3 linked regions of the Saccharomyces cerevisiae S288C genome follow. The protein of the gene in region 1 interacts with the protein of each later gene in a biochemical or structural test. Each region holds a gene or a part of one and is shown in the gene's direction. Other genes may lie near its edges. The genes, in order: NSI1, FOB1 and NET1.

The links.
Region 2: the proteins of NSI1 (region 1) and FOB1 form a complex in vitro, tested with the Saccharomyces cerevisiae proteins (one study listed by BioGRID).
Region 3: the proteins of NSI1 (region 1) and NET1 form a complex in vitro, tested with the Saccharomyces cerevisiae proteins (one study listed by BioGRID).

The regions. Positions count from the first base shown.
Region 1 is NC_001136.10:492,553-496,309, reverse strand, and holds NSI1 (Nsi1p), read left to right. Parts: upstream 1-2,041; coding exon 2,042-3,754; downstream 3,755-3,757. Other genes in the region: VPS54 (Vps54p), read left to right, coding at 1-1,661. UniProt on the Saccharomyces cerevisiae protein: DNA-binding protein that recognizes sequence-specific replication termini (Ter sites) within rDNA. Binds to rDNA terminator elements and mediates efficient RNA polymerase I transcription termination.
Region 2 is NC_001136.10:674,571-678,327, forward strand, and holds FOB1 (replication fork barrier binding protein FOB1), read left to right. Parts: upstream 1-1,531; coding exon 1,532-3,232; downstream 3,233-3,757. Other genes in the region: YDR109C (putative phosphotransferase), read right to left, coding at 1-1,097; alanine transaminase ALT2, read right to left, coding at 3,671-3,757.
Region 3 is NC_001142.9:293,729-297,485, forward strand, and holds the start of NET1 (Net1p), read left to right. Parts: upstream 1-1,516; coding exon 1,517-3,757. Other genes in the region: PRY3 (Pry3p), read right to left, coding at 1-253; YJL077W-B (uncharacterized protein), read left to right, coding at 319-417; ICS3 (Ics3p), read right to left, coding at 938-1,333; YJL077W-A (uncharacterized protein), read left to right, coding at 1,071-1,157. UniProt on the Saccharomyces cerevisiae protein: Has a role in chromosome maintenance and is involved in mitotic exit. Inhibits the action of CDC14 by sequestering it in the nucleolus. Also binds to RNA polymerase I and stimulates rRNA synthesis.

The DNA.
Region 1 (3,757 bases):
TAGAACAGGGATTATTACAGGCGAAGTTAGTGCTGAACAAAACAGATGAGTGTAAGTCAATGTATGAGGAGAACAAGTTGGATAACTGCTTAGAGCTGATAAAATCCATCGATTATCTGATTAAGGGGGATGATTCAATAAACGAAGATGTTCAGAGTTGGACTAGGTGTTGGCCCTATAAATTAAGCAATTTGAGGACGATACCTGCTTTGTCAGCAACGAGAGAGTTTTTAACCAATATGAAGATTGAAATAGGAGGAAAGTTCAGCCTACAATTATCGATTTTACTAATAGATGATTTAAGATCCTTTTGCAAATCAATCAAACCAAAGGAAACACTACATAGGATACAAACGGGATCTAATGATAAAAAGCAAACTATATTTACTGATAATTTTTCTTCAAAGATAACCGAATTAATAGTCAGATTGAATAGATGCGAAGAATTAACGAGTGCCTTTGACCTATACAGGGAAAAATCTATCACTGAGCTTAAATCTATCATAAAAATTTATTTGCCAACAGAGAATGCACACGCTGACAATAACCACGATGAAAAACATCTTAACAATGGCTCTACTAGTGGGTCTAAACTTTCAAGATTAATAAAGGAGCAAACTCCTGCAGAATTTCAGTCCATGCTAGTAAACATATTCACGCACGCGCTCGAAGCTCTTCGAAGACTTTATGGGCATCAAAAGTTGCTTCTAGATATCTCTCTTAACGAGCTAGCATCTGTTAAAAGTCCAAACGAAAACCAGCACAACATGATTACGCAATTGGATATACGTACTGGCATCAACGAAATAATCAGAATTATTCAGTTACGTACAGGCAAGATCATTGCCGTAAGAAGAGAATTGAACTTATCTCTACGGTATGATTATTTCTTGAAATTTTATGCTATATGCGTTATTTTTATTCAAGAATGTGAAGTATTAAGTGGTGAATTTTTAACGAAATATTTAAGTAATGTTTTAGCATCTCAGATCAAGCATTATGCAAACGCACAAAGTTCAAAAAATTACCGCAACATAAAGAAAAAGATTGATGCTGAAGAATGGATTCCATATATTGTGGACTCCTCTATTCAGAGCGATGTTAACGACATTGTGTCAAGTATAGACATAGACCCATTGAGTTGGACAACTATTTTAGACATGGTAGGGGGTTCTCATGATTGCGAAAATGGCAGAAGCGAGGACAAGGAAAAAGATGAAGGAAATGAAACATATCAAGGTCATAGGAAATCGGTTGTTGTTGGCGATAAAACTTTTGTGGCCAGTAGTTCTCTGCTCGCTACCATTGAGGTTATTAAGGAGCTAATGGTTCTTTCCATAAACCTTCCCTCGATATACTTATCAAATTTCGAGAAGTTGTGCTATGACGCACTACAATACTACAACAGTAGCGCCATGGCATCTGTCACACAACCTGGAAACTCACTTTTAAAAACGGGTAGAAACTTATCTATCATGGGAGAGTCATTGGACTGTCTCGCAGAATTTGTGATTATTGTTCAGAGATTTTATCAAAGGCTTTCCAACTCTAACAGGGATTTTGAGCCATTCGATGCGAGTCATTATACAACCCTGTTGGGGCAATTCCAGGCCTCATCGAATAAAATATACATGGCCAATGCCCCACCTCCGCCTGTATAAACATGATAAAGAAAAATTAGATTTCAAGCTATGTACCATTATTTACTTTTTAAACTAATGAATCATCGATGTTATATTCTCTAAGAAATTCCGCTTTTTTTTTAGAACATTATCTACGTATTATTTTTCCAAACATGAGCGGTGAAGAAATGATCAAACAATGAAGATCGAGCGAGGTCAGAGCTTTCCAAATGCGATAGGAAAGGACTTTTTCCAGCAGCTATGAAAATGTACTTCAAGTATCTCGTCAGTTGCTTTACAACTCATCTCCTGTAATTTCCAACATAGCATCGTTCACGACACAGTTGGCGCTGAACAAATTTTGTGCATAGAGCAAGCAGCCGTTTCTTGTCTGCGTCAAGAAGAAAGATAAAGGTAGAATGGACAGCGTGTCAAACCTTAAGAGCACAAATTTTCAGAACAATAATGACCCAAAAGAATCTGTAGAAGAAGCAGTGCTAAGGTATGTGGGAGTCGACTTGAAGAATCATATTAAAAAGACAAAGAAGAAATTGAAGAAACAGAAGAAGAGAAAGCATGGTTCAAAAATGTCTCATGAAGATGAAGACACTGATATGGATTGGTATTTGAAAACATCGGGTTCAAAAGATTTACGTAAAGTGGATGATATCGAACCAAATTCTGTTGCTGTAGCAGCTGTTGCTGCCGCATACAACAGCTCAATGAGAGAAAAAGATAAGAGGAGCTGTCATAAAAAATCTTCTAATAGTAGATCAGAGAGGAAGAAGCACCGTAAAAGAAAAAGCTCTAAAGAAAGAAAAGCCAAAATAAAAATGGTCCTAGATCCGCAGCTGACTACACTGGACGATGGCATAACGACAACAGCATTTTTACCTGATGATCTCATTGCTGAAACAGCTTTTGATAAGTATGTTGATACTGAAAAGGCATACCTAGCTAAACATCCAAGTAAATCGTTAGAAGTTAATGAGGATGATAAAGAAAACAACTTTAATAACAATAGCAGCACGCTGGTTAGAATTTATACCGATTTAGAGGGGATACCAAATGACGGCAGCTACATAAAGCGCACTCCAAAGATACCAGAAAAGGATGTGAAATCAGACGACTTGATATTGGCACCAGAAGAAAACAATGGAGATACCGCATTACTGCGATCCGATATTGTGAAAGCGTCAGTAATTGACGGTGCTATCACAAAATCCATCGGTAAGAAGTTCACTCCCAGCGAGGAAAATGCTTTGGACCAATTCATCGAAGAATACATGAAAATAAGAGGCTTGGATAGACGCCAAATGTGCGAGAGAATTTGGTCTACAGACGGAGTCATTAGAGATGGGTTTTGGGCAAATATCAGCAAAGTTTTACCTTATAGAACAAGGTCCTCAATATATAAACATATAAGAAGAAAATATCATATTTTCGAACAGCGTGGGAAGTGGACGCCAGAGGAAGATCAAGAATTGGCAAGATTATGTTTAGAAAAAGAGGGTCATTGGACCGAAGTAGGCAAATTGTTAGGCAGAATGCCTGAAGATTGTAGGGACCGTTGGAGAAACTATATGAAGTGTGGTTCAAAGCGAGGTTCTAAAAGATGGTCGAAAGAAGAAGAAGAATTGTTGACTACTGTAGTAAATGAAATGATTGAAGAGGCACACCAATATCAAAGGATGAAGGCATTGGAGGCTGCCAACAAAAATGATAGATACAATCAAATGTATTCTAGGGGTCCAAAGGGAAAGAGAATTAGCGATAATCCTACCTTCAAAGATATGATCAATTGGACTGTCGTCAGTGAACGCATGAGCGGAACTAGATCCCGTATACAGTGCCGCTATAAGTGGAATAAATTAGTAACAGATGAAGCAGCCAGAAGTATGTTGAGCATTCCTGTTTCTGAAAGGAAGTGGCTGCTAGAACGATTGAAACAGCTACCTAAAACGTCCTATTCAAATATCGACTGGAACAGTATAGCTACCTACAAGCCCGGATATCCTCGAACTGGTCTTGAACTGAGATTATGTTACGAGCAGATGAGAGAAAAGATTCATGACTTTAAAGGAAGGTCAACAGCTGAAATAATTGATTCATTGTTGGAACAAATCAATTAAGAA
Region 2 (3,757 bases), 180 kb from region 1:
TAAGGCCCCCAAACGCCATGGACAAATATAGGGTTTTTTGATAACAAAATATGACACGTAGACGTACCGGCAACAGCTGCCAATCTGCCAATTGCACCATTGAAATCCTTTTTATAATTTTCGGTCTCGGCAAGACCTTTTACTGCTGATTCCGGCTTGGCGGCTACCGTCCCTACCCAGCCTGCATATGCATCAATAATTCCTGAACTTACTACACAATGCTCTGTCAAGCCTAATTGACAGGCAGCCTTTTTATCTAACGGGCTGATACATTCACCTGCGGTCAGAAAGTTTTTTTTTTCCCTTAACGATCCACCCAGTCTTTCAAAATCATTCTTCGTAAGCTCTGAAAGCCCAATTGAATTTAAGAATTCTTTGGACCAGCCTATATCGGAACCTTCGACACCCACTGGTAGAAATCCCTGCTTACAAACAGCAGAACAAAATGACCTATTCTCTTTTCCCGTGGCTTTGAAAGTCAAGTAATCCGGAAGGTCAAAAAACTTACAATCCTGAAAAATTCCAGCTTCTAAGTTGTTCTTCAACCACTTAATCTTCGGAATTTCCATTTCAACAGACATTTGCCCTCCCACATATTTTAAACATTTATCACCAGATGAGTTGATTTCTTCAGTCTCCTTCATCGCCCTATGGTCCATCCATAATATGATATTCTGGTCATTATTGGTAAAATCCGGTCCAACTGCAATTTCTTCAAAATTGGTAGCGGATACGACTACTAAGGAACAAGTCGCATCAAAACCAATTCCACGAACTCTTTCAGGGTCAACTCCTGATTCTTCAACAACAGTTCTAACACAATAGCAAACTGCATTCCAGATTTCTCTTGAAGACTGAGTAATAAAATTGGATATCAATTGTTCCCTTTTTATGGGTTTTTCTGCTAGCGACAACATGTTACCAGATTGATCGATAACACATGCCCTTGCAGAGCCTGTTCCGACATCTACACCAACGTAGAATTTTGCTTCTGGATCTTGTGGAGAAATGCGAGAAATCGAGGTTTCCTGTGACGACAATACCGCTGGCTCCCGTGTTTCATTTTGCATATTGTTTTGGCGTTTCCTGCTTTTCATATAGCCTTAATAATGTACTTTGCAGATGTTTGTTCCTTCGTCTCTTTACATCTTTTCATTGTACTCAGCGGTCTGGGTGTGCAGCTTTCCACATTTACTAATACTGGTCTGTAGCATTTAGTCAAACGGGTGTTATAAAGGTTCAATTTCTTCATCATACCTAACATTGTGATCGAGGTTTCCAGGAAGAGCTTATATATATCAAAACAAGAAACCCAGAGTATCTTTACCCCCACATTCAATATGAGGTGTCAGCCATAATTATTTACATGATAATACTGATATTTTTTCTTTTTCGCGATATATTGAAAAGAAAAAAAAATTGCGAGGTGATTCCTCATCGCATGTATTCATTTTAACGACATTGAATTAAGCCTTCAGGGGGGAGAACAATTTAACGATTGTGTGAGTGTGAATTTGTGCTGAGGATAACAATGACGAAACCGCGTTACAATGACGTGTTGTTTGATGATGATGACTCGGTACCATCAGAATCAGTTACGAGGAAATCGCAGAGAAGAAAGGCAACGTCACCTGGGGAATCAAGAGAGTCCTCAAAAGATCGTCTACTGATACTTCCCTCTATGGGGGAATCATATACTGAGTACGTAGACTCTTATTTGAACTTAGAATTATTGGAAAGGGGAGAAAGAGAAACACCAATCTTTCTTGAATCTCTGACAAGACAACTAACGCAGAAAATATATGAACTAATAAAAACAAAATCTTTAACTGCAGATACCTTGCAACAAATAAGTGATAAATACGATGGTGTAGTGGCAGAAAACAAGCTGTTATTTTTGCAAAGACAGTATTATGTTGATGATGAAGGAAATGTTAGAGATGGCCGAAATAATGATAAAATATACTGTGAGCCAAAGCATGTATACGACATGGTGATGGCAACACACTTGATGAATAAGCATCTTAGGGGTAAAACATTACATTCCTTTTTATTTTCTCATTTTGCCAATATTAGTCATGCCATCATCGATTGGGTCCAGCAATTTTGTTCAAAATGTAATAAAAAGGGCAAAATTAAACCATTGAAGGAATATAAACGTCCTGACATGTACGATAAACTACTACCAATGGAAAGGATACATATTGAGGTATTCGAACCCTTCAATGGAGAAGCTATTGAGGGAAAATATTCTTATGTCCTTTTATGCCGAGACTATCGCTCTAGTTTTATGTGGTTATTACCACTTAAGAGTACCAAATTCAAACATCTTATCCCAGTTGTTTCCTCACTTTTTTTAACATTTGCTAGGGTTCCAATTTTCGTAACATCAAGCACTTTAGATAAAGATGATCTTTATGATATTTGTGAAGAAATTGCATCAAAATACGGTCTCCGTATTGGCTTGGGTTTGAAGAGTTCTGCGAGATTTCATACTGGGGGTATACTGTGCATTCAGTATGCTCTAAATAGTTATAAGAAGGAATGTCTAGCCGATTGGGGTAAGTGCCTAAGATATGGCCCTTACAGATTCAACCGAAGGAGAAATAAGAGAACGAAACGTAAACCTGTGCAAGTACTACTTAGTGAAGTTCCAGGTCACAATGCCAAGTTTGAGACTAAGAGAGAAAGGGTTATAGAAAACACATATTCCCGTAATATGTTCAAGATGGCAGGTGGAAAAGGTCTTATATATTTGGAAGATGTCAATACTTTTGCCCTTGCTAATGAAGCGGATAATAGCTGTAACAATAATGGAATTCTTCATAATAACAATATAGGAAATGATAACTTTGAAGAAGAAGTGCAAAAACAATTTGATCTAACTGAAAAAAACTATATCGATGAGTATGATGATTTGGCACATGATTCTTCAGAGGGCGAATTTGAACCTAATACCTTAACTCCCGAAGAAAAGCCTCCTCATAATGTCGATGAGGACCGAATAGAGTCCACCGGCGTGGCAGCCCCAATGCAGGGAACAGAAGAGCCTGAAAAAGGGGATCAAAAAGAAAGTGACGGTGCATCACAAGTAGATCAAAGTGTCGAAATAACTAGACCAGAAACTTCCTACTATCAAACTCTGGAATCGCCGTCAACAAAACGACAGAAATTAGACCAACAGGGTAATGGAGATCAAACAAGAGACTTTGGCACATCAATGGAATTGTAATAATATGTAGGATAGAATGAAAGGAGGAGTCACCATAGGTGAAAAAAAAAAGCACCTATTGCATATAAAGTATTCAAAAAGGTGTTGAAAGCTCTTCCTGTATATGACCCTGTATTTAATGTACGCGGTTAAAAAATTTTTATATTTTTAAATAAGTATCAACTTGGATAATATGATCTTGCCCGCAAGGTGGTTTTATATGAATAATTACTTTTTTTTTTTTTTTTTTTTTTTTTTTTTTTTTTTAATTGAACAATAGATGCAGAGGAATGCTCCAAAATTTATTTCCTTGAACAATATTACAAGAGGCAGATATATACTTTTCCTTATTTCCCTTAGTAAAGAATGATGCATGTATACTATTACAAATTTAAACTTCACCCCCACCATGGATGCAAAACAAATAGAAAGCCATTATCATTAGTTTTTTTTTTTCATTCAATTACGATACTTGCTGAAGAAATCTTGATGAAATTCTTTCCAGTCTTGAATCCATTTAGTCCCTGGAGCCAAAAACGTTGTTCG
Region 3 (3,757 bases), on another chromosome or scaffold:
TGTAACCAAGGGCAAGGTTCTCACCATATGGGCCATCGGAATGCGTTAAGACACCCGAACAATCATATTGGTCGGCGTAGTTCTGCGCATAGGTGGCCAGAGTGTCGGACCAGGTGAGCGGCGCTGTGTCAACATGTAGCGCTCTGAACTTGTTATGCTCGTTCAGCACATCGCTCTCGAAGTTTGGAAACGTGGTTTGTGCCTTGACGGCTACTAGGCATCCTAGCAGAACTGATATTGGAAACTCCAGCATAAGCGTTTTCGTTTTAAGTTGTTTTAAGTTGTTTGGAGTTGCAGGGGTGCAGCAATTATAATTTTATGCCGATATTGGTTTGGCAACTACCGAAAAGCAAGAAGCTAAAAACTTTGAAGTATAGAATATGTTTTAGAGAATTCTTCGACCGAGTTGAAACATGAGAACTGTTTCATCGGCCCTATATAGCAATTACATCCTTCCGTTGCTGGGTCCCTGCCTAGATACCATATTTGTTGTTGAATTAACCGCGGGAACCCGCAATATACGAAAGACGAACACAAGAGAGCAAGCACACACAGCTAGTGCGTAGCGTTGCTAGCTATATTGCCATGGTACCTACCTTTCACCTCCTTGTTAAATCCATAAGTGGACGGTTTTCCTAAACCAGTATTTATCAGTTCTCGAGCACGCAGAGAAAAGTAAACGAAGCGACCTGCATTGCGGTAACTATAAACACCCAGCCGCCTCCAGCAGAACCAGCCATGTGCGAAGAAAAACAATTTTTCGGCCAAACTTACCAACAATAGCGACGCGTTCCTCACATCGTTGGGTTTTTTTCGCCTCTCTTCAAGTTTCCTATACCCGAGCTTAACACAACACAACGGACCCTCTTAATTAGAGGTATCCTCCGTTCTTTTCTTCCGCTTTCCTAATCGAGATACCAGAGCACGGAACAGGACCCTAGTGCATCGGAGAGGAGATCCGTGGCACGCTCACTGCGCCTTTCACTATCACCGATTTCGTAATTCGAACAGGAGTATTTCGCTGCAGGGGAATTACTGTTTGTAGACGAGGGAAAGCAATTATCAGATACATGCCAGGGATAGCGTTCAAGGGGAAAGACATGGTTAAGGCAATACAGTTTTTAGAAATAGTCGTTCCTTGCCACTGTACGACCTGAACTTTACTCAACGAAAAAAAAATTGGAAAAAAAATAGTGCATAACGTTGCTATTAACAGATGTAGTACTGATATGTCCCTGATTGGTGAAGAGTCAGAATGATATAAGCCTATTTGATATGTACGTGTACGTATTCGAAAATAAGATTTGTTTCTCGTAGGGAGCGATATGTGCATTATGTTACCCGTTCCACATGTTTTGAACTTTTTTTCTTTTTCATGGTAAGCGTCAATAATCAATTTGAATAACTAGTGAAGAGTAGCTAGCACGATGAAATAAGTGCCGGAGCTGATCGAATCCCTAGTCTCGGTTCGCCTGAAACAGAGAGAAGTCGATTACTGTACACCGTGCCTCCTTCTATGTACAAGCTACAAGTGGTCTTGGTGCCTCCGAGTCTTCAGGCGACGATGCCAATACAGTTTGGCTACGGACCAACCATCGCCGAATCTTCTCAATTGTTGCCAAACAGAACTAATATGGCGCAAAGCGCCGGAGATGCCTCTTTGCAGTATGCTAATCTGAGATCTGCCAATGTGAGTTTCACGCCAAGCTATTTCAACCAGTCTAGGTTTAGGAAGTTTCTTTTGTTTACCAAGCCGACAAACACGCTGTTGAACTTGAGTGATGAAATCATCGATAAGTGTGAAAAAATGTACCCGAGTTTGCAAGAAGACATTGAAATTTTGAGTTTGCAAGATAACAGCGGTTGTGACCTTGATCCGGATTTTTTGGTAAAGGACGTTTTCAATGTAAATAATATCGTAAGAGTTATATTGAAGAATGAGATAGATCTGGACGATTCCGCACCAGTGTCACTTTATAAGTCGGTAAAACGATCCAAGTTGAACAACGGGTCGCCCCAGTCGGTGCAGCCGCAACAACAAATCCCGTCCTCTTCAGGTGTTCTTCGGATTGCCAAGAAGAGGCCACCTACAGGAACCACGACAACAACAACCATTCGTAGTGCCACTAATGGATCCATGAGGGTTTCTACCCCATTGGCTAGGCAAATTTATCCTCCACCTTCTTCGAAGATCGTCTCCAACAACTCAGATGACGAAGACGAAGACATTGGTGAAAGATCCTTTTTGCCGCCTCCAACGCAGCCTCAGTCACCTCCCATAAGAATTAGTTCGGGCATTGACGCAGGTAAAAAAATAAAATCAAGCATCGTCGAGGAAGATATCGTGTCCAGATCAGCAACCGTGGATCCAGATAAAACAAAGCAGCAACGTCTATTGTCCGGAACTCCTATAATGTCCACCATGACTCCAAACAGAGTTACTCTTACCGGTCAGAGAGTGGTTTCTGAACACGCACATAAAAACGAATTGGTTTTCTCTGCTTCAGCTTCTTCCTCTTCATTTGCTAATGGTGGCACAGCTGCTGTCACTGCTCAGGACATTAATAGGAAACCACCCGTAACCACTCCAAGAATAACATCAGGAATGTTGAAAATCCCCGAGCCAAGAATCTCAGAGATTGAAAAAGAGTTAAAAGAGGGACCTTCCAGTCCGGCCTCCATTTTACCCGCTAAAGCTGCAAAGATTCCAATGAAAAAACCTTACTTGGAAAATGGCGAGAACTACGAATCCGACGATAGCTCAAGTAGCGAAAACCAAGAAACTCCTGAAACAGAACCACATTCAAAGGCTTCCTTGCAACGTAGTCAAAGCTCCATCGCAGATAATAATGGCTCTCCGGTGAAAAATAGTCCTCTCGGTGATGCCATGCCACACAATGTGCATTTAGCAGAACTTCCCAAGGCAAGCAATACCTCGATCACCAAATCTTCAAATGGCGAATCCTGGGGAAAGCAACAAGAACATCAACCACCAAGAAAGAGTTCACTGGAAACTATAGTGGAAAAGAAATCTCAGGCGGAACCTTCCGGTATTGTGGAACCGAAAAGAATGACTAATTTCCTAGATGATAATCAGGTAAGAGAAAAAGAAGATACGAATGATAAACTTTTAGAAAAGGAAATTTTGCCGACAATTCCACATAATGATCAGCCAATACTTGCATCATCTGATAAGTCTAATGGGACGTTGAAATCACTAGCTGGGAAAGTTAGTTCAAACAACAACGCTTCAAAGGAAGATGGCACTATCATTAACGGCACCATTGAGGACGATGGCAATGATAATGATGAAGTTGATACTACGGTTCGTATTGTTCCTCAAGATTCAGATTCCTCTAGTTTCCCAAAGTCAGATCTTTTCAAAATGATCGAAGGTGATGATACAGATCTACCGCAATGGTTTAAGGGCAAAAATTCGAGAACTTCCGGTAATTCCAAAAATTCAAAGCCTTACACAACGGTTTTGAATAAAGACATAGACAATTCTAAGCCAGATCCAAGAAATATTTTGCCCCAGCGAACCCCAAGAAGTGCGGCTAAGAGGGCTGCCCAATTATTGGCAGGTGCCAAGAAAAACGAAGTCCCACAGAAAAGTACTGAAGATTCTAGTTCGGCAGCGTCCACAGACGATGAGTCAGAGAGTGGGATTGAAACAGATTTCTCATCAGACGATGATTTTAAAAGGAAAAATATGTCGGTGCCTAATAATGGGCCCAAAGACATTTCTTTACATTCT